2 linked regions of the Danio rerio genome follow. Each later gene encodes a partner of the first gene's protein in a complex. Links are inferred from orthologs where the notes say so. Each region holds a gene or a part of one and is shown on either strand. Other genes may lie near its edges.

Evidence for each region.
Region 2: smarcd1 (region 1) and smarca2 share a complex: the UniProt entries of both Homo sapiens proteins name them as parts of the BAF complex. The link is inferred for Danio rerio from reciprocal best matches to the Homo sapiens genes SMARCD1 and SMARCA2.

What each region holds. Positions count from the first base shown.
Region 1 is NC_133197.1:7,393,884-7,409,480, reverse strand, and holds the end of smarcd1 (SWI/SNF-related matrix-associated actin-dependent regulator of chromatin subfamily D member 1), read left to right. Parts: intron 1-1,164; coding exon 1,165-1,262; intron 1,263-1,342; coding exon 1,343-1,478; exon of another isoform or gene 1,479-2,669; intron 2,670-3,002; exon of another isoform or gene 3,003-4,885; coding exon 4,886-5,008; exon of another isoform or gene 5,009-5,491; intron 5,492-5,562; exon of another isoform or gene 5,563-7,433; coding exon 7,434-7,535; intron 7,536-7,626; coding exon 7,627-7,680; 3' UTR 7,681-8,787; downstream 8,788-15,597. Other genes in the region: gpd1b (glycerol-3-phosphate dehydrogenase 1b), read left to right, coding at 10,975-11,015, 14,120-14,297. UniProt on the Homo sapiens protein: Involved in transcriptional activation and repression of select genes by chromatin remodeling (alteration of DNA-nucleosome topology).
Region 2 is NC_133180.1:46,070,068-46,086,406, forward strand, and holds part of smarca2 (probable global transcription activator SNF2L2), read left to right. Parts: intron 1-2,283; coding exon 2,284-2,526; intron 2,527-2,637; coding exon 2,638-2,751; intron 2,752-3,861; coding exon 3,862-3,969; intron 3,970-4,047; coding exon 4,048-4,134; intron 4,135-7,408; coding exon 7,409-7,455; intron 7,456-7,620; coding exon 7,621-7,787; intron 7,788-7,944; coding exon 7,945-8,108; intron 8,109-12,663; coding exon 12,664-12,891; intron 12,892-16,339. UniProt on the Homo sapiens protein: ATPase involved in transcriptional activation and repression of select genes by chromatin remodeling (alteration of DNA-nucleosome topology).

The sequences.
Region 1 (15,597 bases):
GAACTAGTGAATGAAGACTTAAACTGGAAATACCCGTTTAGACAGAAGTGGTGACGTCTGACAATTATAAACTTCTTTAGTTGATAATTAAAGACTAGTAAAAAATTTCAGTATTATCAGAAAAAAACTACTGTGAAACTAAACTTTAAAATATTTGATCCTGAACGGCTATAGTTCAACTTAATTCATTTAATAATTGGCACTTCTACTTGGTGTAGGTCTTTGAAACAAACTCCTTTTACAATTCTTCTCATTCTAGATGTTTGAAATCCATTAATTGACTTATTTTATTTTAGATCTTCGTTTTAAGTTTTAATTCTTATTATAGATCGTACAACCAATAATAGATAGTTCTAGATTTTTGACAGCGGTTGGTTCTTCTCAGTGACTACGTTTACATGGACATCAGTAATCGAGTTATTTGCCTTAGTCTATGGACTGTTTTATCCTATCACAAAACCCGGTGAGAAGTCCTACATGACGGTAATAGTTTGATTAAGGTTTTTACATGTCTGTACCGCACTTCAATAATGCGACTGAAATCGGCATACTCCACACGTCTTAATTCTATTTCTCTTTAGTTCAATTAAGACCTTAATCGGATTAAATTAATCAAAAATCGCTTTTAACTTTTAATCGCATTAAAATCGAATTATTGGTGTCCATGTAAGCGTACTGAGTGTAAATATTGTTGGTTCTGATTATTATTATTATTATTTAAATATTTGCAAAACCCATTGTCAGTTCTTCTTATTCTAAAGGTTTTAAATTCAATTTACTTTTTTTTTTAAATTCCTCAGAACTTGTAAACAATAATAGCTGGCTGTTTTTTCTGGATTTTTGTAACCTTGTAATTGTTCTTCTCATTGTCAGTCTTACAATTCCAGAAGTTGTTTTATTTCTGCTTGTTCTGATTTTTTTTTAATTTTTTAAGTTTAACAATTTATACCATGTGGTTTTAATGCTTTGAAACAAACCCTGTAATTGTCAGTTCTTTTTCCAGATGTTATAAATCCAATAATCAACAGGTGGTTCTTTCTAGATACCTTATACTAGATGGACCTGATAATTGTCTGTTCTTCCAAATGTAGATCTTTAAAATCCAGTAGTTTCGTGTCTTCGTGTGTAATTTGAACCTATTAACACTTGTTTTTCTCAATGTAGATTTTTGAAACCCAGAGGATGAAGTTCTCTGAGATCCCTCAGCGGCTGCATGCCCTACTGATGCCTCCAGAACCAATCATCATCAACCACGTCATCAGGTACCCACTGATAACATGTTAGTCAGAATCACTATCTTTCCTTATCTGCTACGTCATCTAAACTGCTGTTTACTTCTTAGCGTTGATCCCAATGACCAGAAGAAGACTGCATGCTATGATATTGACGTGGAAGTGGACGACACCCTGAAGACCCAGATGAACTCTTTCCTGCTTTCCACGGCCAGTCAGCAGGAGATTGCAGGCCTCGACAACAAGGTTCGAAAGTTTCACCATGTTCGGAAAGTTATGTCTTTGTTCTGGCTGAATAAACAGTCCTCAAAGTGTTTGGCGAGCCGTCACAGGGGGAAAGCGTTACTTTTTTCTGCTCTTTTGTTTTGTGGCTTGGTCTGCTGCATATCAAAGTGACTCTTGGCAGTGGTCTGAATGTTTGAGCAGATTTGTTTTGTATATACAAGAGGTGTGGTGCAGGAGAAAGGGTTCTGCTTTCCATCATGTTTTGTCATTGTTTTTTAAAGTGTCCTAATATTGTGTTTGAGTCCCTTACAGCAGGTTTAAATGCATTTAAGTTGAGAAAATATTGTAATTTTCTCAGAATATGCCAATTATAAGAATCATTTTACAATGATTTTGATGTTTGTTTGAAAATTTAGGCTGTAAACCCCTTTCTTAAATAAGACAACTCTGCTGTCATTGGACAGCTTGCCATTAAGGCCCCGTTTACAGTAATGCATTTTAGTTTTAAAACGCATAAGTTTTGCTACGGTTAAGCCATCCATCCACACTACGCCGGAGTTCTCGAGCGCCGAAAACTGAGCGTTTTGAAAACGCTGGAGAGGCCGTTTTCATTCTAAAAAGCTGCTGCTCCATTTCAGTGTGGATGAGGAAAAACGGAGACATCTGAAAACGGAGGCGGGGCTGCTGAGATTCGCTACCTGATTGAGGCTTTTGTGTCATTGCGTATCCTTCCCTCCTTCGTCAAGTTTCTATCACATGACTATAACACATGGCTTTAATGCTACTGGAAGTTAGTACTGAAAACAACAACATGGACACAGAAATGGGAGCGTTGTTTGCACTATTGTCTGTTTTAGGCGCCACTGTGCAGTTATTCATTTGTTACGTTCGGTAACAACTCGACCTCGTCGTCTGTCCACAAAAATACCTCTCTTGCTTTCTTTGCCCGACGCGTTTAATGTACAACCGGCGTTTGTTGACTAACAATAACCAAATGCCGAGCGAGACGCATGCTTTCTGTTTATACTAGAACTCGCATACCCAGAGTGCGCGAATGGTCACGTGATATACGTTTTTGGTGGCGTAGTGTGGACGGAGATATGTTCAGAGACGCTAGGTGAAACGCTAGTGTGGATGCAGATTGTTTTTGAAAAACGCCGTTTTAAAACTAAAACGCACTAGTGTAAACGGGGCCTAAGTCTGTTTTGATTGGTCTTTCCATGTCTGAAATGAAATGACCATTTCAAAATCTTAATATGTCATGAGTCGGTAGAAAATGAAAATCCGTTGATTTAAGTGTGTTGATGTAAATCAATAGCTGACAAAAGATTCATTAAAGTGATTTTTCTCTATGATGTTTTGAGAGACACTAGCTATGTTTCTATTTCAAGATATGAACTAAACCTATGTGTAAAACTAAAATGTTGCATTAAACATTTGTGAAAGAAGCAGCATTTCTATCCAATAAATTGAAGAGACTAAAATAGTCATTATTGATAAACTGGCACCAAATATCAAAATAAAAAATGGAGTTTGCTAATGTAGGGGAAACCACTTGGGGTCTTTTTCTTATTTAATAATTATTAGTACCCAGAAAACCAACGAATGCAGTTATAACAACCTTTTTAGAGACACAAGACCGTTCTGGAGGTAATAATTTGACAGACTTCAGTTTTTCCTCTATGATTTTTTCCAGCTGTGGCTGCAGGTCTTTTACACAAATCTACCAACTACCGGTGGTGTTGTTTCAATGACAAATGGAGAAATGTGGCGAGCGCAGTATTACACGTCGAGATCGCATTTATGTAAAGTTTATACGAGCATGCCAATCTCTGCTTGCGCGCCGATTTCCTCTGGTCGTGCACAAAACTTTTTGCACGTCCTTAAACACGCTGCTCAAGCGCAGATCTTTTCGTGCTCTCTTAAATAAACACTACTGAAGAGCGATTTACTGTGTTGAGTATTGAGTCTGTCTCCAACATTTATTAGATTTGCAAGGAATATTTCTGAAAGTCTCCAATAGACCTACAGATCGGTATTAATGCATCCTGGAGTAAAGTGAAACGGCAATAAACTCCAATAAGATAAAGTCTTTGTTTGCAGAATCACAGACCTTAATCTATAAATAAAGTACAATTATGGAAACTGTTCATCTTAACTGAAAGCTACGTCGTGTTTGCTGGCCTCACGCATCACACACCTGTCAGCAAGTCAGTCAGTCTGTCAGCACTTAACCTTAAAGTGTTAAACAAATAGTTCACTGCCTTACTACGGCAACAGAAAAGTTTGCGCTGTTATAATTTACTTACCTTTTAATGCGTTTTGGTGCGATTATAACCCGCTATTAAAAACAACAACGACAATGAATGAATGTTGTGAATTAAGAAGAAGCTGTAATGTAGTCGTGTCGGGATGAATTTTGGTGTGGCGCCCCGCCATGGAAGAATGAATGTAGTGGAAACCATGGACTTTGGCTAAGGCATTTTAGAATGACCAAAGCAAGATTTTCTTATAAAAATAGAAAGATGGTAACTTGGGTAATATTTTTATATTCATCTTTGCATTGGGTAATTACAAACTACAAATAACAGATTTTTCTAAAGCTCGTGTCCTGCTCTTAAATGTTATGCATTTCTATTTACTGAAAATCTTTAGTAGTCCAGTGAACACTTCTGGCACGGCAGCCGGACTCACCATGGATAAATTGTTGCCACGGTGAATCCAAAGTTAATGTGATCATGGTTTTCAGCTCGAGTGATTATGAACTGCTTGAATCAGTAAGACAAATCAGCTGTAGGTGAAAGTTCAGTTCCTTTTTATTTCTTCTATAAAAGTTTATATGACCAACGTTCATTGAAAACGTGGATTTATAGTGATGATATAGATATGAAGTATGTTTATTGATGTCTATTGTTTTTTTTTTTTTTTACTTTGATTCGAATTGATTACATTTGTTAAAATTACTCTCAAATTAGTTTTTATGCTCAGGGAAATTACCTTGCTTTCTGAAGCATTGCCAAAACTTATATTGACAAAACACAAGTGTTTATAAATGTGAGGGTTTTGGGTCGATTACTTAGTGATTTAACTAAGTTGAGTTGTGAACTTTCACACACAAGTTTGACCAATTTATTTTTTGGATGTTCACCTTTGACCCAGTTGAATCAGTTGTCAGTTTGCAACAGTCTAAATCTCTGTCGTTCCCAGTCAGTGGTTGAACTTTGTACTTGGTGAAAGTTTGTGTTGATGAAAGAGGTGAGATTACAGCAAAACCTCTTCGATTGAGTATGATTGCTTTTATATGAGCTCAATAACAAAGTTCATATCGAGTACACATGGTTAGTGGACCAGCACTAACGCTCTTATAATTAAAGTGTTGCAAATGGTAAACAAGATCACTCATGCCAGTTGTTTGCTTGTTTCCTCAGATTCATGAGACCATCGAAACCATTAATCAACTGAAGACTCAGAGGGAGTTCATGTTGAGCTTTGCGCGAGACCCGCAGGGCTTCATCAATGACTGGCTCCAGTCGCAGTGCAGAGACTTGAAGGTGAGATCAAAACAGTCAAAAACTGAGCCCTAAGCATCATACTAACATGTTTAATGAGGATATCATCATGTTTTAATTGCATTTAATGGCACACAGTGTGTCCGCGGGGTCTTAACGTCTTAATGGTTTAACATGAAAAATAAGGCTGTCCAAAACCACCACCTACTACTCAGTAGACACTGCATTTGTATTAAAACGTACTACTCTGCCGTTAGAAAAGTACGTTCTATACAGTATGAATGTGAACAGTATGAATGGAACTCTGACATACTACATTTACCATTTTTGCCATGATCACATGATTTATTTAGTTGCATCTTTTCACTCCCATTCATGAATTTTCTTGCGGGGCATCATGTGATAGCACAGCATGCATGGGATGCACACTTCAGAATCTCGCTGGAAGTAGTACTTCTCACATACTGATTTTCGAATTCTATGAATTTAGACATGCTACTCAGCTCACAGTTTTTCGCCCACTATGTAGTATGGTAGTATGTGATTTCGGACACAGCCCAGATTTTAGGCCTTAGTCTTAAATTCAATTAAATCAGATCTTGCAGGTCTTAAATAATTTTAAACAGGTCTCAATATTCCCATATCCAGGAAAAGCTACTCAATCGGGCCAACACGCATCCAATCACCAACAATCCATCTCAATAGAACTATTTATAGAACTATTTACCAATATGGTTTAATTATCATCCTTATAGTAATATTTATTTAAAAGTGCTCTCTGTTTATAGTCCATATAGATCATTTCAATGTGGTCATGTCATTGGTCCATGAACATTTTCTGCTTGTTATCAAACTATTTCATAACTGTAACAAGAGGCAATTCAATCATCACTTAATCTTAAAACGGCTATATTTACATTTATTTATCAATATGTGACTCTTTTTGGATTCTCGGAAGAAATAGAAATTAAAAATGTAAAACAGGAAATGTATTGGGACCGCTGTTTTTGTTTACATCCCTCAAAATGGTCTATCTGGTGAGTACACTGACCTGGACAGACTGTTGTGCATTTAGTTTAGTAAAGTTTTTTTTGTTTGTTTTTTTTTCAAGATAAGTTATGTTGCAAAATGTGTATGCATACTCCTAGAGTTTGCTTGTTTTGACCATTTATTTTAAATGTGTGGCTAAGAAAAATCATCGAGTTCCTGGTATTTTGGAAGTCATATTTTGATGATGCTGTGACTGAGTGTGGAATCGTGGGAGTTGTGTTTTTTATCATCCTATGGGACACCTGCAGAAACCCTGTTGATGGATGAGCTAAAATATTCAACACCTGTTATCATGGTGGTATAAAGATGAGTAAGGCTGGACAGGGTATCTGCAGGGTCTTAAAAAGTCTTAATGTTTTCAATTTCAAAAACAAAATTGTTGGCCTTAAGTCCTAAATTACTGAAATATTGTGTTGTAGGTCTTGAATCATTTTAAATGGGTCTTCATTTTCTAAATGTTCATGTAAAGCTGCCCAATCAGGCTGACACCCATCCTATCACTAACATTCCATCTCAATAAATGTTTTTTAAAAAGTTTATTTATTAACTCTATTTAATAAAAAACAATTAATTTTCTTCCATAAAATAAGTTTTTTTTTTTTTTTTTTTATGTTTTAACTTGGCCTTTAGGATAAAAAAAATGCTTAATGTTTAGCCTTGTGCAAGTATAAAACTTCATTCATAATGGTCTTTATAAGTCTTAAATTTGACTTGATGAAACCTGTAGAACAACTGCTGGAAGCAAAACACTGAACAATTGCTGATAAAAGACGAGTGTGACATCGCATGAAAGCAACTGAGGTTTTATTATGCCAGAATCCACCACTTCCATTTTAAAAACAAAAACCCGGATATCGACTGTATGAGACATCATTAGCATGAACACAGCACACACGGTCTCACTAAAAATGCTTATTTCACTGACTTTGAACGGCTTTTGTAATATTTGACTGTCATTACTTGCGTCTATTAGTCTCTAATGCTGTTTGGATACTTTAATGAAAAACCCTTACATATTGTGTCTTCAAGCTGCATGGTTTATTAAAATGTGTAGCAAAAGTGCTTGTAGAAATGGGTTGTGTAACCTTCGCCCAGACTCGGTCTTTCTCCATCTGTATGTTTGCTCACAATGTTAGTTGGTGGACTGACTGGACTTTTAATGACTTGGGGGGTTGGGAGTATTTTAAAGAGGCGTTTGTGAGAGATGTTGCATTTTTAAATGGTTTGCGGAGAATCAAGCTTGCTATCATTTTTCTCAAGCTTAATTTATCCATCCAAAAATGTACCATCTGTTGCAAAGCAGTTGCTTGCGCTTCCTTGGGATTGCACATCGTGTCTTGAGAGTGTTGCGCTCTGGACAGAAGCCATTAATCAGTAACCGTTGTTCTGCTGACGTCTGAATTTGGTGTCCTTGCAGACGATGACGGATGTTGTCGGAAACCCAGAGGAGGAAAGAAGAGCCGAGTTCTACTACCAGCCTTGGGCTCAAGAGGCTGTGTGTCGCTATTTCTATTCAAAGGTGATGCTTTATACTTTACAGTTCTTGTTTCCTGTTAACACTGCATCCATTTTAATTATAGTTTCTCACATAATCTCTTGTGATCTCTCAGGTCCAGCAAAGGAGACAGGAGCTGGAACAGGCTCTTGGCATTCGAAACACATAAGCAAGCCTGTGGCCGTTACGACACAGGACCAGAAGGGATTCTGGGTAGCGAATTTCCTGCTGCTTGGCACTGCAGATGCTGATCACTACAGTTTTATTACGGTTTATCTTGTGCTGTCCTGCTGTAGCTGCCCAGGAGTGACCCTTCATAAGGAAATTACCTTATTTTTGTTGTGACTCCGCCAAACTAACAAACCCCTTGAAATTCTGCTGTCCCACTTGATTTTTACCTGATTCAAGCTAGATGATTTAGCGATGTTGTTGTTTTCCGACCAAACTGACTTGCTTTTTTTTTTTTACCGCTAATATCGGAACTCCAAACAAAAATGGTAAAAAGTATTCTCCGTTCATGGCTTCTTGGAGTCGTTTAATTTTGAAATGATCGATATTGTCTTTTGATATCTTAATGTTCTCATAATATGAACTTTATGAAGATCTAGTCTAGTTAAGCATAGATGACTGATAATGATGTAGTGTAGTACCTCAGCTCTCTGAAGATGAATTATTCGGAGGAAGTTCCTTAAACGAGTGCGTTAAAGGTGGGCTCACTGGTTAACATTCTCTGCAATGACTTTGAGAACTCGTCTGTTCAGTAACCGTTTTAGATCCACAAGATTAGATGTACTGCTGATCCACCTGTTTGATTACAGGTCTGTTGGGCACAAGCTTTGTCCTGGCCTGTAAAGTACTTCCACTCTAACCTCGCTGTGATATGTATTAATATATTTAGAGAATTGCCTATATGGTTTGTTGGTTCGTTTAATTAATTTTCATTTTGTCATTCTGAAAAGTAACATGAAATAAACCTGCCAATGCAAGTACTACCTGTCCATGGCTACCCAAAAATCATGTTTAGGAATACTATCAAGTGATTGAATATTTAATCGATGCACTGCAGATAGGCCATGGGTTCTTCCACTAAAGTAATTCAAGCATTTAGAAGCCAAGTGCTAAAAACTTTAACATTCTGAGTAGTTTAAGTTTTCTTTAAGTCATGCGTTTGCTTATTTTATATCTTTTTAATCCTTTTTTTCCCCTTTAATGGACCAAATGTTGTATTTCTGTTAGCCCTTGTGTTATAATAAAGATTATCTTGTATTGATGCTCACCTCGGTGTCGAATGTGCTCGCTAAATTTATTTTATTTCTTTTCCTTCAGGCCTAATGACGATTTTCAAGAATGACTCAAGATTTTTGTTAAATCCCACATATAACTTTTTAAACATTTGTGATGTTGTGCAAACAGCTTAATAGCTAAATTGGTAGTTGTAAATCGAATGTTTGAGGGTTTGCTAATGTTGATTTAAGATGGCAAATCCTAAAGTCACATTCAACTTTGGCGCCAACAACATCCTGAAAATATTTACTGTATTTTTAGTGTCATGGTTAATGATTGCATTTGATTACTTAATTCCATCGAACTGTTTAAATTATTGCCTCAGGTGTCACCCATTGGGTTCATGCTAAATACATGAGGTATTGCAGCAATGTTTCTTGTGTAGAAACGTGTATCTATTGGCAGATCTAGGAATTTTTAAAAGCAGGGACCAAGGCGGGGCCACAGTTTACAAAGAGGGGGCAAGTTTTTCAATTGGTGCGAGCACCTAAACCAGGGATGTCACACTCAATTCCTAAAGGGCCGCAGCTCTGCACAGTTTAGTTCCAACCCTAATTAAACACACCTGAACAAACTAATTGAGTCCTTCAGCCTTGTTTGAAACCTAAAGGTAAGTGTGTTGAAGCAGGGTTGGAACTAGACTGTGGAATTGAGTTTGACATCCCTGACCTAGACTCTGGAATGCTTGATTCTAATAGGTCAATCATGACATTCAGGCTCATCCAGGTACTGCAAATCATCATATAAACATTCATTCTACAATTGCAATGTTGAGCTGGTTTATGGGAACATGTCTTGTCGTTGTAATTCAAAACAGTTAAAATCATAATTAATGGGGTCTTTCCACATTCAAATCTTGATTTTGGTGTGCTGGGAGGGTTGGGTTTATGGGTCAGGCCATCTACATTATACCTATGGAGAGGTCCTTATAAACCAAAATGTAGAAGTCAAAATTATTTTCCCTCCTGTGATTTTTTTTATTTTTTATTTTATTTTTTTTTATTATTATATATTTCCGTATTGATGTTTAACAGAGCAGGATATTTGTCACAGTATTTACTATATTATGTTTAATAATTTGATTTCACTATTGAATTCACCATGAAGTGTACCTTTAGCGTTGACATAACTCAAAATGGTAATTTAATAACTCGTATGACAGCTATGAGCGGAATCCTAGAGTTACCTTGTAACTCTGACATGTTTAGTCTACTCGCATATGACTATCAATTTTGGTCTGTTTTAAAATATGTGTTTGAAAAACAAACTATGCCAAGGAACATTATTACAATTTTAATCCCTCTTTTGGAAAAAGTACAGGGACTATAGCACTTGTCATTCAAAAAAAAATTGCTATAGGTAACACCTGCGTTCGACATGAATTAAAGTGCGTCTAAGTTTGAGCTTTGCTATAAATCAGTTAGGGGAGAGGGGCACTACAGGAGCCAACCCGATTTAAACGGGGCCGGTGCCCCACAGATCCCCACAGACCCTGCGTATATCCTAATCTTCACTGTTTTAATAAATTCTTTGTTGGAAGCAAATATTTACATGAATGTCTTTTTTAAACAGCCAATGTAACGTAGTGCCAAGAGCTAAATAGCAAAAATTGTGAATGTAATTTATTATTTTATTTTATTTTTTTGTCGATGTTAATGCCAATGTTGTTTCAGGTTAGCAAATAGCCGTTAGGTGCATTTTTGGCGCCACCAACGTCGTGTAAAACTTTACCATAAACGCTTATTGATTTACGTTTTAAATTAAGCGTTTATCGTATTAACGTCGTTAATGATAGCTAGACTACTTACCTTTCAGTAAGATGTTTCTGTTTTAATTGTAGTCTCGGGATTTCCTCAGTATTGGAGAAATATTTCTTATAGCCTATTATAGAAATGTAATAATCTTCGCGGTACAATTATCAGTTAATTCAAACGTATTCCTCAACCCATACTTAACAGTTGTTAAGTAACTTTAGGTAGTGGTTTCTAATAATAATAAATCATCGTTGTCACTTGTCAGTCCAGTATGTATGAGAAGAAACCAGCCAATGCGCGTTAAGGGGAGTGATGCGCGTTCACAGGCTATTTAAATGCGCGCGCACAGGATTTTCTCCGGTCCGGCAGCGGCTCTCAAACACACCAGAGTCCTTCAGCCAGTCCAGCCGGGACAGAAGCGCAGCATGGCGGCCAAGAAAATCTGCATTATCGGCTCTGGCAACTGGTGCGTGACATTTACGTATTTTACATTCATTTTGCGCATATACATGTATTATTGTAATGCAGGGGGCAGCGGGGGCTGAAGTATATTTGGAAGCAGCCTGTTTTAACACCCAAACTGAATTGATTTCTATTTTGGGAAGTTGATTAAATGCGGTATATTTAGTATTGCACGGCTTCGCTCTGCGGATATCAAGTGTAATCCAGGAATACTTGACCTTTCCGTTAATATACTTGAAATATCAGAGATTACACAATGTTTTGTCGCTGTTAAGATCCTAAAGTGATTTGAATGTTTCTTAAATGGGTACCTTGCTATTTATTTTATTATGCATTTCATGTACTTATTGTCTTTAATGTCCAGATGTGCTTTGTTTGGTTTGCTGTAGTTGCTGAGGTAATATTTGCTGAGTAATGATTGACTCAGGTGTCCAGTGATCCTCTTTAAACTCAAAGAAAAGGCTGCAGACCCATAAACTTTAGCCTGTTCTAGAGCATTGCATATACTGAAGCAAAGCTATAATATGCAGTGGATTAATATTATAATCATCTATTAACATCTCAGCAGCATGGTTTCATGTTTCCAATCTTAGAGGATTATTCAGTTTATTTTTAGAAGATGTTTTGTTGTACTGGTGCAGACACACAAGATTTAAAGGGATAGTTCACCCCAAAAAAAAGAGAAAAAATTTGTCATTTACTCAGCATTGTCACGATTAATCTTTAGATACTATACCAGCTGAAGTATTACAAAACCAAGTAGTGTTGTGATACTGTAATTCATAACTCAAATTCTAAAGAAAATTGTCAGAAATACTATATTTTATGTTATATGCATATAATAGGCCTACTTGAATGTAATTCAACATTTCCGTAAGGCCAAAAATATTATTTGCACCCCACTTCACCTAAAATTGTTTATTTTGTAGATAACTGACCAACAAAAATACATTAAAATAAAGATACAAGTTATACAGAATGAAGTTTGTTACGAAAGAGCATTGTCACCCAACAAAATTAGGCTATATGAAGTGGTCAAAATTTGTTTCAACATTTCCTGTTGCTATTTTGGGTTTTTCATTTATCATATTTCAGTCTGTTCTTTGTATGTGGATTACTCAATTAGCTGGATTTGGTTATTGACGATTTGACACGATCCAGGATTATTTTGTTCTTCAAAACTCATCCGAGAGTTGTTGTCATAGCAATATAGGTCTGGTAGCTCAAACCTGCTCAGGAGCAGACTTGTGTCATGCAAAAAGGATTAGATCGGGTCTTTTCAAGCAAAGATAATACTGAAAGTATGTACCGAATGCTGACATTTTCCTACAGTAGTAAGCTTTAGGTTATATACATTTGGGAAAATAGTCAAATGGTTTTAAAAAAATGTTTATTTTTTTTATATTTATATTATATGCATATAAAAGTTTAATATATAGAATTAAAGTTAAATAAAAGTTTTAAAAAACATGCAAGTATAACTTATGCAATCTGCACTGCAAAATAAAAGTACAAAAACTGTCACGGCGGTGTTCTTTCCCCAAGGAGTTCAAAGAGAACATTTATTATTATGCACATTTTAGATACAAACGCATACTATTTTAAGGATTCAGCTTTAGTAGTACATTTTTTCTATATCATAATAGATAACAGGCACAATAATCAACTGTTTTTTTTTTGTTTGTTTGTTTGTTTGTTTAAAGGAATAATATAGTCAGTCATTACTATGTTTTGACAGCTAATATGCCAGTGATTTGATGCTTCGCAAAAGTTTCAGACACCTTCACCAATATCAAAATTCTTTTTTGATGCAGAATTAATTTAAACAGCCAGTTATTATGCTGATTAATCAATCCGCTCTAACTGTAAAACTAAATAAATTGATAAATACTTTTGACACATGAAAGTGTAAAGCCTGCAGCCCACAACAAATGTGTAGTTATTGCGTATCATATTTAACAAACCGTTTACTATGAATTTTATGTAATTTAGCTCACATGCTTGAATATTAATCAGATGATGTCGTTACCCTGCTGTGCCGTCAGCCAATCGCTGCATTGCTGATCATGAATTCGAGGATCATTAGATCAGTCCTTCACCACACATGCAGCGATCTCAGATCAGTTCATCCAGACATATTAATCTGATTAGCAATCTTGTTTGAAGAACCAAATTAGCCAGAAATCAGTTATCAAGATGCACAGATCCAGGATCTGCAAAATCATCTTAGACCATTTAAGTACGGTAAGAAGAACTGACCCTAGGTAAAAATCCAAAGTGATGCAAAATTTCACTTTGTGAGTCATCCTTTTAAAGAGATCGTTTTGGTTGTTGTAGCTACTAAATAGTATTAACAGGAACAGAAATGAACTGATTCAGATGTGCGTTCGAACCGGAGTGTTAGAAAACGTGCAATAGGCTACCATAAATGGTGCAAATTCTACAGTTTATAAAAATAAAAAAATGGTCTGTTGTTGCACAAACGTGACTATTTTAGCTACTTTTCCACATGCAACATTATCTATTGTAGATAAACCATTAATGACGATACTACCGTTTACAAACTTCAGTGGCACCGCCAGTATTTTGGAGCTATAGTATCGCAATACTACCATAGTACCGGTAAACCGTGCAACGCTATATCAAACCTTTTTCTAAACACAAAGGAAGATAATTTGAAGAAATCTGTAAGAACTGACTTCAGTAGTATTTCTTTTGGTTGCAGGTTTTCAGCTTTCCTCAAAGTATATTATTTTGTGTTTACCAGAATAAAAAAGCAAAAATTTGGAACCACTTAAAGAGTAAATGGTAAATTCTCATCATTAATCATCTCATTAATGAACACTTTTTGAATGTCTAAATATCAATAAATACTTATTATTATCACAGTAATTTCCTTACACCAATGGCAACTCGCATGCTTTACTACTTGAGCACCTCAGCTCTCATAGGACTAATTAAAGAAGCATTATATAGTCTAGTCAGTGTCGCAGTAATGAATCTGCTTCTTGAGCCCTCAGGAGAGCGTCATCTGTCATTACTGATCCAGTGCTGTGTGTTCATTACAGTTTATCAGTGCTCTTTAAGCTGAGTTTTTCATTTCCTCAGGGGTTCTGCCATTGCCAAGATAGTGGGCGCCAATGCAGCCAAATACAACACTTTTGAGAACACGGTGAACATGTGGGTGTTTGAGGAGATGATCAATGGACGCAAGCTCACCGAAATCATCAATACTGAACACGAAAACGTCAAATACCTGCCTGGACACAAGCTGCCACCTAATGTGGTGAGAATGAGAAGCTTGTTCATAGCAAACTTTTCTCTCTCTCTGGAACATAAAAATCAGTCATAAGTGTATTTTATTTTTTTTTTATGATTTATACGTCAAATGAAAGTTGATTAAATAAGCTTTTAACTGATGTCTAGTTTTAGGATTGTACATTACTTGGATGAGATATGAGTATTTGAGAATCTGAGGGTTTAAAAATATCTAAGTATTGAGAAAATCGCCTTCAAATTCAAAAAAGATAAGTTCATAGAAATATATATAACTAATCAAGAATAATTTTTTGATGTACTTACAGTTGGAAATGTACAAAATGTTTTATGTAAATTCTTTACTAAATGATAGATTTTTGACTCGTAGTCATTCGTATTTGGTATATATTTTTTATTAGTTAATAAAAATTAAATATCACAAGATATAAACCATTATTATTATATCCAGGGTGCAAATTCTACATTGACTTGATTGAGGGGGTCAACTTTTTCAGTAGTAGTTTGGTAATGCATGCCTTAGTGAATCAAATTTATGAATGTATTTGAATTACATCTAATTTATGAATAAAATGTATACATGTTCAGTGTTTTGAGGGATAGTTAGTGACTATTTTAGGCTACTGTCCCTACATATTTTAGAGCGGTAATCACAATACTGTAAAACTGCTTTTTTTATCCAAGGTTATCATACCGTCAGAAACTTAAACTGGCCAATGCCCATGTTAGAGTTAATCTGAGAAAAAACATATGAATAACAAGTTAACATGAGAAATTATTATTAGTACCATATTGGTTTTCTTAAAGATGGCAGTATTTATCTTGCAGCTTTCTAAAAAATTATTTAAAATGTCATGTATAAAGTCATAAAGAAAAAAAGTCTGATATTTTAGTTTGTATAATTTTCTCATTAAGTAATAAAATGTTATATCCAGCGGGCAATTTGTAGATAAACAATCGGGGGGGCTCAACTTTTCCGGTAGTAGGTTGGTAATGCATGCTTCAGTAAATCAAATGTATGAATGCATTTAAATTACTTCTCATTTATTAATTATATATGTATACATTTTAGGGATATTTTGTGATTATTTTAGAGGTTACAGTAGGTAAAATTAAGCATCTAATTTTTCTTTTTTTTTTTGACTATATGCAGATACACCTATTTTACAAGAAACGTGTTTTGTGAATACTTAAGATCGGTGCTCTAGAACTGCCTGTTTCAGACTGTTGAATCATATTTTTCCTAGCATTGATTGGAGCGATTATGCATTCACAATGGTATGAACCTTTATAGGAGGGGTCAAATGTAC
Region 2 (16,339 bases), on another chromosome or scaffold:
CTTGGTCATTCTAAGCTCTTTGCTGTAAATAATGTTTATTCAGCAATAATTCTCCAGTACTGATAGCAGAACCGTTAACATCAGAGCTTATTGATTCTTCGGTCTTTTATAATTTAGCACCAAGACTGATAAAATACCGAGTTTCGGTACCCATCCCTACCGGCAGTAGGGTACATTTCATCAGTTGATTCATTCTCTGGAAGTTTAGAGAAACCACTAATCTAGTAAAGAGGTTTGCATACCAGAAAAGAGTTAAGAACTAAGATCTGTAAAATTTAAACATCATTTTTCTTGTGTAAACACCTAATGATGCCTCTCAGGCTTTTCTCCCAAGCACCAAGCTCAAGACATTATTCCAAATCCTACTGCATCACAGATTGCAGCAACACGGTGGCGCAGTGGTTTGCACTGTCACCTCACAGCAAGAAGGTTGCTGGTTTGAGTCCCAGCTTGCTTAGTTGTCATTTCTGTGTGGCGTTTGCATGTTCTCACTGTGTGCTCCCGTTTTCCCCACAGTCCAAAGACATGCGCTATAGGTGAATTGAATTAACTAAATGGTCCGTAGTGTATGTGCTTTAATGTTACGCCTGTTTCACACCGCAAGCGTCAGCGGCGCGTGAGCAGAGCGTGAGCAGCGCGTGTGTTTTCGGCGTCCATGTTAACAGCTTAGAGCTTTCACACCGCACGCAGCAGCAGCGCGTCAGAGCGAGGCGTGAGCGTCGCCGAAGCAGCAGTGCAGCGATAGTTTCGGCGCTGGGTCTATTTTTGACGCGCTGCTCACGCTCAATTAAAGTGACAGTGCTTTGATAATGACCAAAACACATTGAATGACAGTAAAAAGTAGCAATTTTACCCAATAAATGCGTTAATAATGTCCAATGGTTTATATATAGTCATTCAAATGAACTTAAAACGATTAAAAACGGCAACAAACATTTATTTAGGCCCGAACTACAAAACCAAATGTAAAACAATTTTAGTATCAGTTTTGCTTAAGTTGCACACTAGTGTTGTAGGAGAGGGGAAATAGAATATTTACGGGAATTGTAGTCCATAGCGAAGTGTATTGTGGGTAGTGTAGTTCGACACGCATGCTGGATGATGTGAGCTCGCTGTGTTCTGTGCAGCTGAGCAGAGCAAGAAAGTTTTTATCGGCTTTGTTTTATGTTTACTCGAGTTATTCCTACCGGGAGCTTTTTGCACTCTGAATCTGACAACACGAAAATAAGTAAAAGAATGGCATGCATTGGTTACTTTCGTCCGTCTCATCCTCTGCACGAGCATGAATTAACGAGCTGTTTTTCTGCCGCTGGACATCACTGAAGCGGAGAAAGTAACACTAGTTTGATCATGTATAAATATCATTATAACTATATTGTATAAATATTATTATAACTAGGTCTACAGCAACCTGATAATAAAAAACAAATGACATGATATCACAGGCGATTGTCTTCTGACTGTAGACGCTTCTTATATAAGTTAGATTGAGAAGCATACAGCACTATTTGATCTATAGAATTTGTAAAATAAACATTTGCCGGTTAAAGAAACAGCATAGGAGGGGCCTTGGTGCAGATGAAAAGTTTGAAAAGTGTATTTGTATATAGAGAGACATAGGTAACTAGATAGAATAGACAGAGATAGGTTGATCTCTGCAGCAGCTGCCGAAGAGCTGCGCGCTGCAGACGCAGCTGGTGTGAAAGGCAAACGCCTGCGTGCTGCTACTGCTCGACATACTCGCTGCTCACGCTCTGCTCACGCGCCGCTGACGCTTGCGGTGTGAAACAGGCGTTAGTGTATGGGTGTTTCCCTGCACTGGGTTGCTGCTGTAAGGGCATCCTCTGTGTAAAACATTCAGTATTCTGGATAAGTTGATGGTTCATTCTGATGTGGCGACCCGGATGAATAAAGGGACTAAATTGAAGGAAATGAATGAATGACCACAGATCACCTCTCACATTAACTAACAATTTCTCCCATATCATTGTTAACGTCATTCTAGGTTGGGGAATTTGCTGGAAGATCTTTTTAGCAAGCTTTCTGTGGCTTAAATGAAGTCTATATGCCTCATATGGAGAGTTATAATTATATGCATTGTGCTTTCTCTTTTTTCTCAAAGTCATTTATGACACTTTATTCCATCTCATAGTCATTTCTTTTGGTGATTAAATTACATCCTTTGGACTGCTTTTTTTAAGCTGAATGTGACGCGTCTGCTTTTGCAATACCTGTGAGTTGATCTTCTAATCCAGTTTGTGACTGCCGAACTGTCATTTTCAGATTCGCTGGAAGTATATGATTGTGGACGAGGGTCACCGTATGAAGAACCATCACTGCAAGCTCACACAGGTGTTGAACACCCACTACGTTGCTCCCAGGAGGCTGTTGCTCACTGGTACTCCCCTGCAGAACAAATTACCTGAGCTCTGGGCCCTGCTCAACTTCCTCTTACCCACTATCTTCAAAAGCTGCAGCACCTTTGAGCAGTGGTTCAATGCTCCTTTTGCAATGACAGGAGAAAGGGTAAACTGTCATATTTGAATCTTTAGAGATTTAGAGATGTCTATTTTACGTCTTACACTGTATTTTAATGACTTTTTTTCTTGGTTATGGGGTTGCGCTGATGTTTGTTAGGTGGATCTGAATGAAGAGGAGACCATCCTCATCATTCGTCGTTTGCATAAGGTGTTGCGTCCCTTCTTATTGCGCAGACTGAAGAAAGAGGTGGAGTCTCAGTTACCTGAGAAAGTAAGTGTATCCACTTTGTCTCTTGTGTGTGTGTGTGTGTGTGTGTGTGTGTGTGTGTGTGTGTGTGTGTGTGTGTGTGTGTGTGTGTGTGTGTGTGTGTGTGTGTGTGTCTGTGTCTGTGTCTGTGTCTGTGTGTATGTATTTTATTATTAGCTGATAGTGAAAAGAGCATTCAGTGACATTTAGCATCTGTCTGCTTTGGTTCACTGCACACAGAAATCAACACATAGTCACTGCCTTTTTCACATACTGTGTTGACGCATTTTCACAGATATCGTGAAATACTGTAAAGGCCACCAAGAACTATAACATTAGAATGCATAATTCTAAAACAAGGGTGTCAAACTAATTTTCACTGAGGGCCATTTTAGCATTAGGCTGCCCTCAAAGGGACAGTTATAACTGTAAGACTGTATGGCGGATTTTCATGGAAACTTAGTTGAAACATTTTCAACAATAAGTAAAAAAAAAAATATATATATATATATATATATAAGGTGCCCTTTAAGATTTTTAAGTGCAATATGTATGAGATTTTGTTAAAAACATTTAATGTACAAAAAACAACATTGAATTTCAAAGATGTTCCCAGAAGTCATTGAATAAAGGAGGTGGGAAGTGCAACATTTGATATAGATTTATTATTAAAGTCTCATTTATCTCAGGAGTTTCCGTAAATGAGACAGTGAAAGTAAACATTACCATGAAAATCTTAATAAAGGCACATTAACAGTGTTTATTTGGTGAAATTCCTATTAAAATTTGTTTTATCTGTATTGTGCAACATTTGTTAGGGTCTTTATGGATAGTTTATATTGCGCATAAATGTCATGTGACCATCAGGAAAAACACATTTCATTTCTCACAGGACGCGGTCTTTGTTCTCGCGTTCCCCCAAATTTGTTCTTTCGAGGTAATCTTGCAAGACCAGTCACCACGAGAACATGAGTCGTGTCTCTGCGTTCTTGGAATTTAGAAACAGCCATTGTCTGCATAGTCACTGCCTGATAAGGCAGGAAATAAACAAGTCAGCTGTCTAAGCTTTGGGGCAAAACCTGTATGTCATCCTGTTCAAACTATATTGATGCACTGAGTCTTCATTTGTCACAGGTGGAGTATGTCATCAAATGTGACATGTCAGCCATCCAGAAGGTCCTGTACAGACACATGCAGGGCAAAGGTATCCTACTCACAGATGGCTCGGAGAAAGACAAGAAGGTAAACAGAGAAACTGTGTGCTTACTCACTTTTACACCACTGTGCAGATTTGATGTGTTTAATGTGTTTTCTCCACAGGGTAAAGGTGGAGCCAAGACCCTAATGAACACCATCATGCAACTGAAGAAGATCTGTAACCATCCCTACATGTTTCAGCACATTGAGGTATCACTATCTGTCATAGAACAATGTTTATTAAGTTAACGTTACATAGGTTTACCTAAAACTTGAATTTCTGTTATAACTGACTTTCCTGCAATTTAAATGACTTTAAATATATCAACAGAATACAAGAGAAGATATTTTAACGCTATTGCTTTTTGACATACAAACTCAATGGGGTCCAAAAAACAGAGCCCAAAAAAAAAAAATCTTCTTCAAGACCTAAAACTACTACATAGCTCTGAAGTTAGACCTTAAAGTTTCTGTCTATGTCTGAAAATAATAATAATTTTTGATTCATAATAGATTTATTTTCTGCAATAGGTTTATATCAATTCTAAGGTAAAAAAACAAACAAACAAACAAAAAACAAACATACATTTGTTTTTGTAGATACATCACAACAGCTGTTTTTTCACAGTGTTTCTAAACTCGTCTTTTCATCGCTCTAATTAGCGATGGCCAGTTTGTTATGATTTGTCTATGTACCAGTAATGAAACGTTCATTAACATATCTGAACAGTAACAATGTCACTAGCTAATTCAAGCCCAAATTCGCATGCTTTGAAAGTGAATGCAAATTGGAGACAGTGGAAAAAGGGGTACCATCTTAACATCAACATCACAAACCAAACTGCTTCATGCCTCAGCTTCAACTAAATGTTTGATTGAAACGGGTGTTGTTTGCATAGGTAGGCATTATGCAGTTATGTTACAAACCTTTGCAGTTTTGTGCTGGATGTTAGAAAAGAGTTACCGATGACTTATTTTTAAGCAATTTGGAATCATTTTGGGTGTACAAAAATTACATTAAAGTACTTTCACAAACAGCTATATTACATGCTACCTGAATGTTAAAATCTGAAAAAACTACAACAGGGACACTTTAAATATCTATCAACAATCAAAAAAGCTAACGCTTTACATGCAACTAACCCTGAACCTAACTTGCATTCTAATCCTAACCATATGGTATATACATGTAATTAGGGCTTTCTCAGCCGTGCGATATTCTGCAATATCAGAACTCGTACAGCCTCCTCAGCCTTCAGTATTACTCCGCCCATATAGAGTGACAACAGATCAATAAACTCATTATAGTTTGACAAATGTTGTAGCTGTTAGACAACATAATGTACTTTTGAGGCTTTTTTAGTCGAGATTGTAGTTGTTTAGATTGCAACTATGCCTTTATTTACTGTATAAGGATAGAGCCTGTTTTAAATAATAATACAAAATCAGCCTGTCACTGAGCAGAGCAAAGACGGTTGACGTCCATGTACAAGATGGCGACAGAGACCACATAATAAGCCCTTAAAAGAGAAAAACTCTAATTTCTAACTACAGCTGATCAAATCATTATTATTTTGGTGAGTAACATTTTAAGTTGATGTCCCTCTTTTGTATGTTGTAGAGCTGCATTTATGCCGTAGTAGTTGTTGTGTATTAAGTGTAAGAAAGGACTCGCATATCAGGAATGTATGCATTTTGTGTTGGCCACTCTTTGGCCCAATCCAAATTCTACCCCTTAGCTCTTCTCCCTTCCTCTTAGCCCTACGCCTTCAAGCTAAAGAGAATTGGGACACCCCTACCCCTTCACGGGAAAGTGCAAAACGAGCGGTTGGGGGTGTCCTAATTCTCTTTAGCTTGAAGGCATAGGGCTAAGAGGAAGGGGCGAATAGCCCTTCAAATTTAGATTTTTCAGGACCACACTCGAAACCAAGGAGTAATAAAATTTCCCAGAATGCACCATCCACCACGGCAGGGTCACTGCACCTGGAGGTCAGAAGATGCACAAATTAGTATTGTTTTATATTATTGTGAATTTTTACAACAAACAAGCACATGTTGTAATATATTCATAGCCGCATTTGTGTTTTACCGTCATGCTTTTAAAAAAACGCTAAAATAAAAACTGCTAAATTTCGCAATGTATAATCAAAAACTATAACTTATGTATAGTAGTTCCACAACATTCTGACACTCGATGACACTCGAATACCCTGTCAGAAAAAGTCTAGTGACTGGGAAAGAGCTTTAAACAGTGTGTGCTATAATGTTAGTTTTGTTTTTGGTGTGTTTACATTGATGAATAAGGCCACTTTGTAAATGCACAGTCCAGTTACGATCTTATTGTCACATTAGATTGTTATGATAACATAATACATACCTTAAGTGATTTCCTCAAGAAAAATACCAAAAAAATAAAGCAACTGGAATAACTACAGCACTGATCTCATATGAAGGATGAGAACGCAATGACATATATTGACGTGTGCAGGTCTTGTAGTGGTGTCCCATTTTTTAGGGATAAATTTCGAAGTCCTTCTCTTTTACACTTTGTTTTATGGGCCAAGGGGAAGGAGTAGGGGTTAAAAATCTAATTGGGATTGGGCTTTTGTATAACCTAAGGTTACTTTTTGATTGGCCATCTGTTTGTTTCTATTGAGTCTTCTTGCTGTAAGAAAAACCCGCATGTGTTTAGCGTTTTTCCTTATCGCAAACACAACAGTAATATCGTATTGTTTGCACTGCTTTAGCTTTTTCGGGGTTATTTATGTGATCTCTAATTGCAATAAAGAAATACTGGGAAATATCTGTCGACTGATGACATTTCATGCCAGTTAGCCTTACAATCTTAAAATGTAATGTAATGTAATGTAATGTGTATTTATATAGCTCATTTATTATGTATGGCCAAACACCCAAAGCACTTCACAATCATGAGGGGGTCTCTTCACACCACCACCAGTGTGCAGCATCCACTTGGATGATGCGACGGCAGCCACAGGACAACGGCGCCAGTGCGCTCACCACACACTAGCTATTGGTGAAGTGAAGAGACAGTGATAGAGGCAATTCTGTGGAAGGGGATGATTAGGAGGCCATGATCGTAAGGGCGGATAGGGGGACTTTGGCCAGGACACCGGGGTTACACCCCTGCTCTTTCACGAGAAGTGCCATGGGATTTTTAATGACCACAAAGAGTCAGGACAGTGTTGTGTCCCCTTAACTTTTTCTGGGGCATTAGGACTCACACAGACCACAAGTTACCAGAAGGCAAAGTATCATAGACGCTGCGGTGAACACTGTGGTTTCTGTGGTTACTGTCATTCCTCTGCAGACAAAAAAATTGCAGTTATCGCCACAGCCATAAACTGTATGTAAGCCTTGTTAGTTGTTCAACGAGCAGTGCCACTGTAATAAACAGTCAGTATTTTTTTCCTACTTGTATAGCATGAGCTACACTAAAAGCATCTTTTTTGTATCTATTCAGGAATCCTTTGCTGAACATTTGGGATTTCCAAATGGCATTATCAGCGGGTGAGTATACATCAAATCGAGCGTTACATAACCTTAAGAGTTACCATGAAGTGTTCATTCATGTCAATTATGGATCACTAAACTGACCGCGGGCTCTGGACAGTGGAGGTACACCATCATAGATTTGACATTAGCGTTGTGCTTTTTTTTTTCTTGTCCACCTAGCCCTGACCTGTACCGAGCCTCTGGCAAGTTTGAGTTACTGGACCGCATCCTGCCCAAACTGAAGGCCACCAATCACAGAGTGCTTTTGTTCTGCCAGATGACCTCCCTCATGACCATCCTGGAGGATTACTTTGGCTACCGTAACTTCCTTTATCTGCGTCTGGACGGTCAGTAATCAGCGCAGTCCTTCTTTAATGTTTTCCTGTCCTTTAGGGCCTTATTTCTTGGGGGTTTCCAATTGGAAATTTTAATAAGTGTGATCACACAAACATGCTGCCCTTTCTCTTTCATTAACACTCCTTTGCTGCTGGTTTTGTCCTCCAGGAACTACAAAGTCAGAGGATCGTGCGATGCTTTTGAAGAAATTCAATGAGGAAGGCTCCCAGTATTTTATCTTCCTGCTGAGCACCAGGGCGGGAGGTTTGGGGCTGAACTTGCAAGCTGCAGACACTGTTGTGATCTTTGACAGCGACTGGAACCCCCACCAGGTTTGTGTGATTCACTGCTGTGATTAGAGAGGAACTAGACAGTCGCATAGCAAGTTTTCAGCTCAGCAGTCATCTGTCATCTCTAGATCTGACTTGAAATACATTTCAAAGTGCATGTTTGTTTGAAGTAATCGTGGAGGTCTGTTTTTCTACCCTAGCAGAAAAAAGGTAGCTTTTTCTTTTGATTTTTTTGAACTGTTATTTGATTTTGATTACATCAAACCTTTATAAAAAAATTTTTTATCTGTAATTATGGTCTTAAATCTTAGGTTCTTTATTTAATTTTGTTTTATTCTTTTATTATATTATCTGAAATTATCCTGTATATACATTTTCTTTTTATTTTTAATACATTAAAATATCTTTAGGCAATGCAGTGGCGCAGTAAGTAGTGCTGTCACCTCACAGCAAGAAGGTCGCTGGTTCGAGCCTTGGCTGGGTCAGTTGGCGTTTCTGTGTGGAGATTGCATGTTCTCCCTGCGTTTGCGTGGGTTTCCTCCGGGTGCTCCGGAGTTTGCATGTTCTCCCTGCGTTTGCGTGGGTTTCCTCCGGTGCTCCACAGTCCAAAGACATGGGGCACAGGTGAATGGACCCTTCGCTAAGCCCCGCCCTCCTTAGTTACTGTTGCTATGCCTGTCAAGCTTTATTGCCTGCAACGTCTATTACAATGTGTATGCGCCAGTTTCAGACATTGCCAGGGATAAAATTAGTCATTTTTTTCCAACAGATAAGATATCCGAGAAAGCCAGACAAAAAAGGACAGCAGTATGCATTACAGGGGTAGATTCACGACATAATAGGCAACTGATTAGAAAATAACCGGATCAAAATTGAAGCTAGCTTAGCCTAGCCGCCTCATACGCTGACCATTCAACAGCTCAGTTCATGCACAGCAGGAAAGGTGACATTTAAAAATAATTCAGTAAAACTAAATAAACCCTGATTTCTCTTTTTTAGCCAAAAAGCCTGATAGATTAATTGTTGTGCAATGAAGTATAGCGTTACTTACCAACTAGGAAAAACGCATGGACAGTGCTTCTACATCATTAATTTATAGAAAGAACAGCCAAGAAGGGGAAATAGATGGATTTGTACCAGATATTAGCATCATTTACCCATAACAGTGAACACCTATCACCGTCTGTACGTATGTTTGTGTGCTCTTTATAGCGTTTCTATTCTAATTTACAGTTAAGTGAAAGAGATAAATACATTGAAATGCAAATCAAAGTATAAATAGCAGAAGTGAACGAATAGATTTTCCCTACCAGCAAATATTAATCCGATGCCAAATATAAAAGCAGACACTAACCCTCTATAGCATCGTCACAGATGAATAAATCTCCAAAAGACAGACGAAAACATCAGTGAATTGTAGCTCTGACATGGACATCGAGGCTTATAAATGACTGAAAAACAGCTGCTTGTAAAGTATACTGATCGCAAGTGCTCAGATTGTGATCACATCTCGGTTTTGTTCTGTTGATATGTAATTTCAAATATTCGAAGCTTGAAACAGATGGAAATATGATTGCTATTTGTGTGACTCCAAAGGCTTAAATGGAGCAGTGCTCATAATATCGAGCGAAAAAAGAAAAAGACAGCTGGGAAACATGACCTGTTTTGTATTTTTGTAATAAACACACTTTAGATCTGTTTAGGGTAAGAGGTGTGTGAGTTATTGCCGTCTATGACTGAATGTGTCAGAAATATCGAAAACAAAACTGACTTAACACCGCTCCTTTAGCACCCCTCACAGAGATTGATCCATGCTGGCATTTCTCCCCTTGGGTTTTAGGTTTTGAAAAGGGAAAAAATTCCACCACCCAGTCCAAACTTTAAGGATACCGGGTATCAGATTTGCACAATCAATATGCACAGCGCTTTGGCCTGTTTCCCTCGCTCGAAAGCTTGACAGAGCTCCTGCGCATAGCTACGGTTGCTAAGCCACGATTGGTGGGTGGCGTTTTTTGGGTGTGGCTTAGCGAAGGGCCAATTAGGTAGGCTGAATTGTCCATAGTGTATGGATGTTTTCCAGAGATGGGTTGCAGATGGAAGGGCATCCGCTGCATAAAACATATGCTGGATAAGTTGGTGGTTCATTCCACTGTGGAAACATCAGATTAATAAAGAGACTAAGCTGAAAAGAAAATGAATGAATGAATAATAGCTTTAATTTAGTTTTCTGGTCATTTCCATATAATTAAAATTTTAATTACTTTTACCTACATAGACACTGATTGTACTTTTGCCAGTTCTCCTTAACTAGACAGCCTGAGTAACAGCAGCTGAAGAGTACTGTATAATGTGCATGTTACTTTTAAGGCTATATTTGACAGATTTCGTAAAGGCTTCAGTACTTTTTGAGGTCTCTCTGCAACTTGACACTTGTGAGGGCGACTTGGCTCTATGACAATGAGATGAGACCTCAAATTTAATATTCTGCCACTTGTCACAAAGCACATTTTGCATATTGACTGATCTAAAGTGCCTGAATTTTATTTTATTATTTTATTTTATTTTATTTTCAGTCCCAAGTGGAAACATGCCTGTATAGGTAGTTGACATCACATAAGATAATAAACACTTGTATTAATTATAATTTTTCATAAAAAAATGATGGTACTGTATATGTAATAAGTATATGTAAGTCCAATAAAATTGTTTGCTTGAAGTAGAGGTCTGTGCGTGGCTATAATTTATTTTGCTTGCGACTGCTATTGGGTAAAACTTTGAGGTGTTATCACATTGTCCATAGGGTCATTTTTTTCCATTTGTGTATATGACACATGTAAAAGAATCCTATACATCAGACTTGCCTGATATGGGTTTCCTAACAGTAAACTGACCATTTTTAATGCAAGTTGAAGGACAGCCAATCTACACTTTGCTCTCCCATGTTGGTAAAGACAGCTTTGATGACCGTTATGCAGATGATGCGTGCACAGACTGTGCCAATAAAATGCACATGCAGAAAGCACTGGTCCATGCTTTCAGCATGTGTAACAGTCAAGAGCACTGGCTGTACCGGTGCTCAATAAGATATGCTATTCCAAAATTATATTGGGACACTGGAGCACTATTGTTAGAGCGACCGCTTCAATTTAAATTACTGATGGTTTTCTCAATTACCGCATTTTATTCAGAAATTTATTTGCATCGCAAGAAATCTGCTTGGGTCCCACTGCTGGACTTTGGGACCTGACCAAAAGTCCAGCAAGTCTTTGTACATGACCGTGAAGTCATGTACAAAGACTTGCGTGGAAATCCTCCTAAACATTGCGTACGCACAAAGGTGCAACATGCAGGAGCGCAAAACCCCTCCCTGCCTCCTCCCCCGTATGAATATGCTAATGACTCTACTTTGGCAAAACCCAACGAAAAAGCAATGGCAAAAGCAAGCAAAAAGAGAAACTTTGAACAGAATGTGAATTGAGGGTGCTCCTTTAGGAGGTAGACCAGAGAAAAACGGTGTTATTTGCAAGTTTGTCCTCCGGAATTAACAACAAAAGAAGAAAAATAGAGTGGGGAGAGTTTAGCTGATGCGGTTAACACAGTTAAGTCTGAACATCGCACTGTGGATTAAAAAAAGAAATAGTGTTATTTATAGTTGTAGATGTTGTAGTACACTCAATAGTCTCAGTGGCGCAGCTCGTAAAACGCATGTTAACATGTTTTGACACGTTCGAGCATGAACTCTGTTCGAATCCAGCGTCAGATGAACTCATTCATTCATGCATCATATTTTATTTGCACATTTATTGAATGGAAATGTTTCTGATTCACGCATGCAAATTCATCTTCAGATGGCGCCTTTATAGCAATGTGCGTGCAGTAGATAGCTCCGATTACATTGGGAAAACCGGCAACCGCTGCAAATAGCGCTTTAATGTTTGGCTGGTCAACTGTATGGTATGGAAACCTTATATACCTGCTAGATGAACCTGTCTCATACAGCTGCCATTGCACGGCTCAAAGACTCTTTGTAAAGTGCAATTTAACACAACTGCCTCTAGGAGTCGCCAATGGAAATAAAACAGACACGCAAAAAAAAATGTGCGTACGCCAACATTCCCACGTTCATTTCATCGTTAGTAAATCCAAACGTGAGCGATTCTGAGCGTGAAACCTGGCGTACGCAAAGTTTTTGTGCATACGCAGCATTGATACATGGCCCCAGGCCCCAGATTTCTTGCTATGCAGGAATGCAGACCTTTAGCTTAAAGTATATCATCTAAAACATTTTGTTTACGCCTGCAGACAAAAGTAAATTTGTTGTTGGCGTTTGTAATGTATGTATATATTAATTGTTTTTTTTATTGTTGTTTGTTGTGTTATGTGCCTTTGCCCCACACATTTTCAGCAGAAGATGCTAATGTTAACCCATCCATCCTCCTCCACAAACAGTGCACAGAAAGTCACAGTGATTTGCATCCATTTGTTCTTCCTTTAGAAAACAAATCAAAGAATGCACTATGCCTCTTTTTAATTAAAATCCCCCACTCTGATTATTATTGATCTAATAATAACACGCTGCTGTGATTTCCACCACCAGGACTTACAGGCCCAGGACCGAGCTCATCGCATTGGCCAGCAGAACGAAGTACGTGTGCTGCGCCTGTGTACCGTCAACAGTGTGGAGGAGAAAATTCTTGCGGCTGCCAAGTACAAACTGAACGTTGATCAGAAGGTCATTCAGGCAGGAATGTTTGATCAGAAATCCTCCAGCCATGAGCGCAGAGCTTTCCTACAGGCTATTCTGGAGCATGAGGAACAGAATATGGTGAGTCACTGTAACAAGATCCGCTCTGAGTTATTGTTAGACTTACTAATTACATCTAATGATGCACCAAAGTAAAAAATTACTTCAAAAAAAGTAAATAACAAGGTTGCTCCATTTGTAAAACTGTTTGATGGCTGCATGATTCTGGATAAATTGAGAAATGCCTTTTTTATCATATTTATTATCATAATTTTTTTTAACACCTTAAAGAAGGGGTGTCCAAACTCGGTTGGAGCTAAAATATGCAGGACATTGGTCCTCCAGAACAGAGTATGGACAGCTTTAAAGGGACAGTTTTATCAAAAAAGAAATAAAAAAGAATCATTGTTTAGTCTCCTTTATGTGGTTTTAAAGCTTTATGAGTTTCTTCATTTCTTCATTTTCTTCATTTCTTTTGTGGAATATAAAATGAAATATCTTGAAGATTGCTGGTTGCTGGCTTCCATAGTAGAAAAAATACCATGAAATATATTATTTTGAGTATAACAAAAGAAACTCAAATAGGTTTTGAAGAAGTAGAAAGTGAGGTAATAATGTAAAAATAAAACATTTTGGTTGAACTTTTTTTTTTTTTTTACATAAAAGCATGTTATTTATTAAAGGTTCAAGAAACCCTTAACTACTTTTAAAAAAATGACAGATTTGTGTGTTTTGAGCATCAGTTAAGACGACGTTAGCACCTTTTAGCTTTTTAATTTTGGATAAATCTGGATAATTTTGAGCTTTTGTCAGCTAATTCCATCTTACGGGTTTAAAATCATTTTTGGCGGCATCAGAATCAGAGATGTAGCATTTGTCTGCCTGTCCACGTGTCGGTTTCTCATTATTATTCATAGCTGAGTTTCCTTATCCTTTGAGAAGACCCTGCTTCTTAGTTATTTATCCGAGCATGTGATTTCCGATGACAGACCTGCCAAGTGAGACCGTGACCCCGCATGGCATGCAGTATTTAGCCATACGTGTAGGGTCATATGTGTTTGTTATCATAAACCATGGAGTTTGTTGCATGGCTTTCCCCACAATGCTGTCCGGGCTTCTGACACATCCAAGCTGTTGTTGTGCTGCAAGCATTTTTGTGAGGAGAGCATTGTGAGAATTGGAGAATGGTGGACTTTGTCTTTTATCAGTTGCATTCGTTACTATTCAGACACATCGCCTATATGCATGCTGCTGTGTTCGCCTATATTTAAAATCTTCCATATTACCGGCAGGGATAATGGTGTGAATAGATAGGGCAAGAGACCTGCTATCCATTGTGTCTGTATTCAGACGCGGGAATTCAGGAGGATAGAACTCTATATATGTGTAGCCTTTGACTTTAAGTGTAACCTATATATTTTATAATACAGTTGAAGTCAGAATTATTTGCCCCCCTTTGAATTTTTTTTCTTTTTTAAATATTTCCAAAAATGATGTTTAACAGAGCAAGGACATTTCCACAGTATGTTTGTTAGTTTTTTTTTTTGTTGTTTTTTTTTTTTGAAGAAAGTCTTATTTGTTTGATTTCAGCTAGAATAAATTCTTTTGTTGTATATTGTTTTTATTTTTTTTAAAGCCATTTTTAGGTCAAAATTATTAGCCACTTTAAGCTATATATTTTTTCACAAGTCTACAGAACAAACCATCATTATACAATAACTTGCCTAATTACCCTAACCTGCCTAGTTAGAAGTGTCTTGAAAAATATCTAGTAGAATATTATTTACTGTCATCATGGCAAAAATAAAATACATCAGTTATTAGAGATGAGTTGGTAAAACTATTATGTTTAGAAATGTTGAAAAAATCTCTCCGTTATACAGAAATTGGGGAAAAAAAATAAACAGGGGGGTTAATAATTCTGACTTCAACTGTATGTAAACACAACTATGGATAAACTGTCATATATGTAGCAGGGCATTAAATTATTTAATGTTTATTTCTTTGCATTTTAACTTTGTAAACTAAAAAATCGTGGGTCTCTTTTATGGTTTCCTCACATTTTTCCCGTGCTTAGCCTGTCATGTCCACTCCTCTCTCTTTTCATAGCGCACCACACCAATCAGTCTATTTAAAATTGTTTAAATTGTTTCAATTAATTATTTCTTTCCTGGGACTTGGTTGCAGTTGGAAAGGCATCTGCTGCGTAAAACTTATGCCAGAATAGTTGGCAGTTCATTCCACTGTGGCAACCTCTGATAAATAAAGGACTAAGCGGAAAGAAATTGAATGAATAAAACTTTTTTTTTTGAATGAATGATTATTCAGTGACTCACTCAAGGCTTTTTTCTTCACAAATTATTCATTAACAATTTTTAACTTGCATAATGCTGCAACTGATTTTTTATTTGCTGCACAGTGTTATGTATTTAGTTTTGATTGCTACTGTGTTTATATCCTTTCTATGAACCTTCATCCCAGTTCTTGTGATGTTCTTTACTGAGACAATTCAATGCTCTGTGGTTTAAAAAAGCAAAATAAAGCTAAAGACCAAAGCTGTTTCACAACTATGCACATTCACTTTGCCGCTGCGTTAACACAATTTTTTTTATAATTAGCACAGCAATCATTTAGGAATAGGGCTGCATGAATTTGAAGGGGGAAAACATGACACCAAGACAGATGACTTGAATAGTTTTTTAGATTTTGTTGGGAAGTGCATCTGCATAAAATGTTATAAACAAACTACAAGCAAAGATAAATACAAAAGAACCAAGATACAATAGAAATTGAAGATACAAGATACAAACTAAAATTCATTCATTTTTTCATTTTAGTCCCTTTATTAATCTGGTGTCGCCACAGCGGAATGAACCGCCAACTTATACAGCACGTTTTTAGCTTACCCAATTCACCTGTACCACATGTCTTTGGCTTTTTTACCCATGCAAACGCAGGGAGAACATGCAAACTCCACACAGAAACGCCAACTGACCCAGCCGAGGCTCTAACCAGCAACCTAGCGACCTTCTTGCTATGAGGCGACAGCACTACCTACTGCGCCACTGCGTCGCCATGCACAGAAATACTAAAGTTATTATTTTGTGCAAGTGACAGGGAAGTAACGGCTTAAAGACATTAGCAAATGATAAACTTTCACTCTATTTTTTTAACTTAGGACTGAATACACAGGTCACATGTATCAAAGTATGGCATCTGGTCAACTGTGATGCCTACTTGACGTTTTGACTGCTGCTCACTTTGCATCGGATGTTAAAACAATATTTTGTGCTGTCCAATTTAGGGATAAGAATGTGCATGCATCAAGATGTAATCTTTTAATGATTAATTGTGTTCCTATATAGCCGGTTTACATCTAGTCACTCGAAAGACTGACTTGCTATCCATTTGGCAATGTGTATTCAATTTTCACTTCAGCACCAAAAAATGTCTTAGTAAAATGGATATAAATAAATATGCAAATACAACAGAGTTCAATTTTGGAGATGATGCCAATACCAGACAGTGG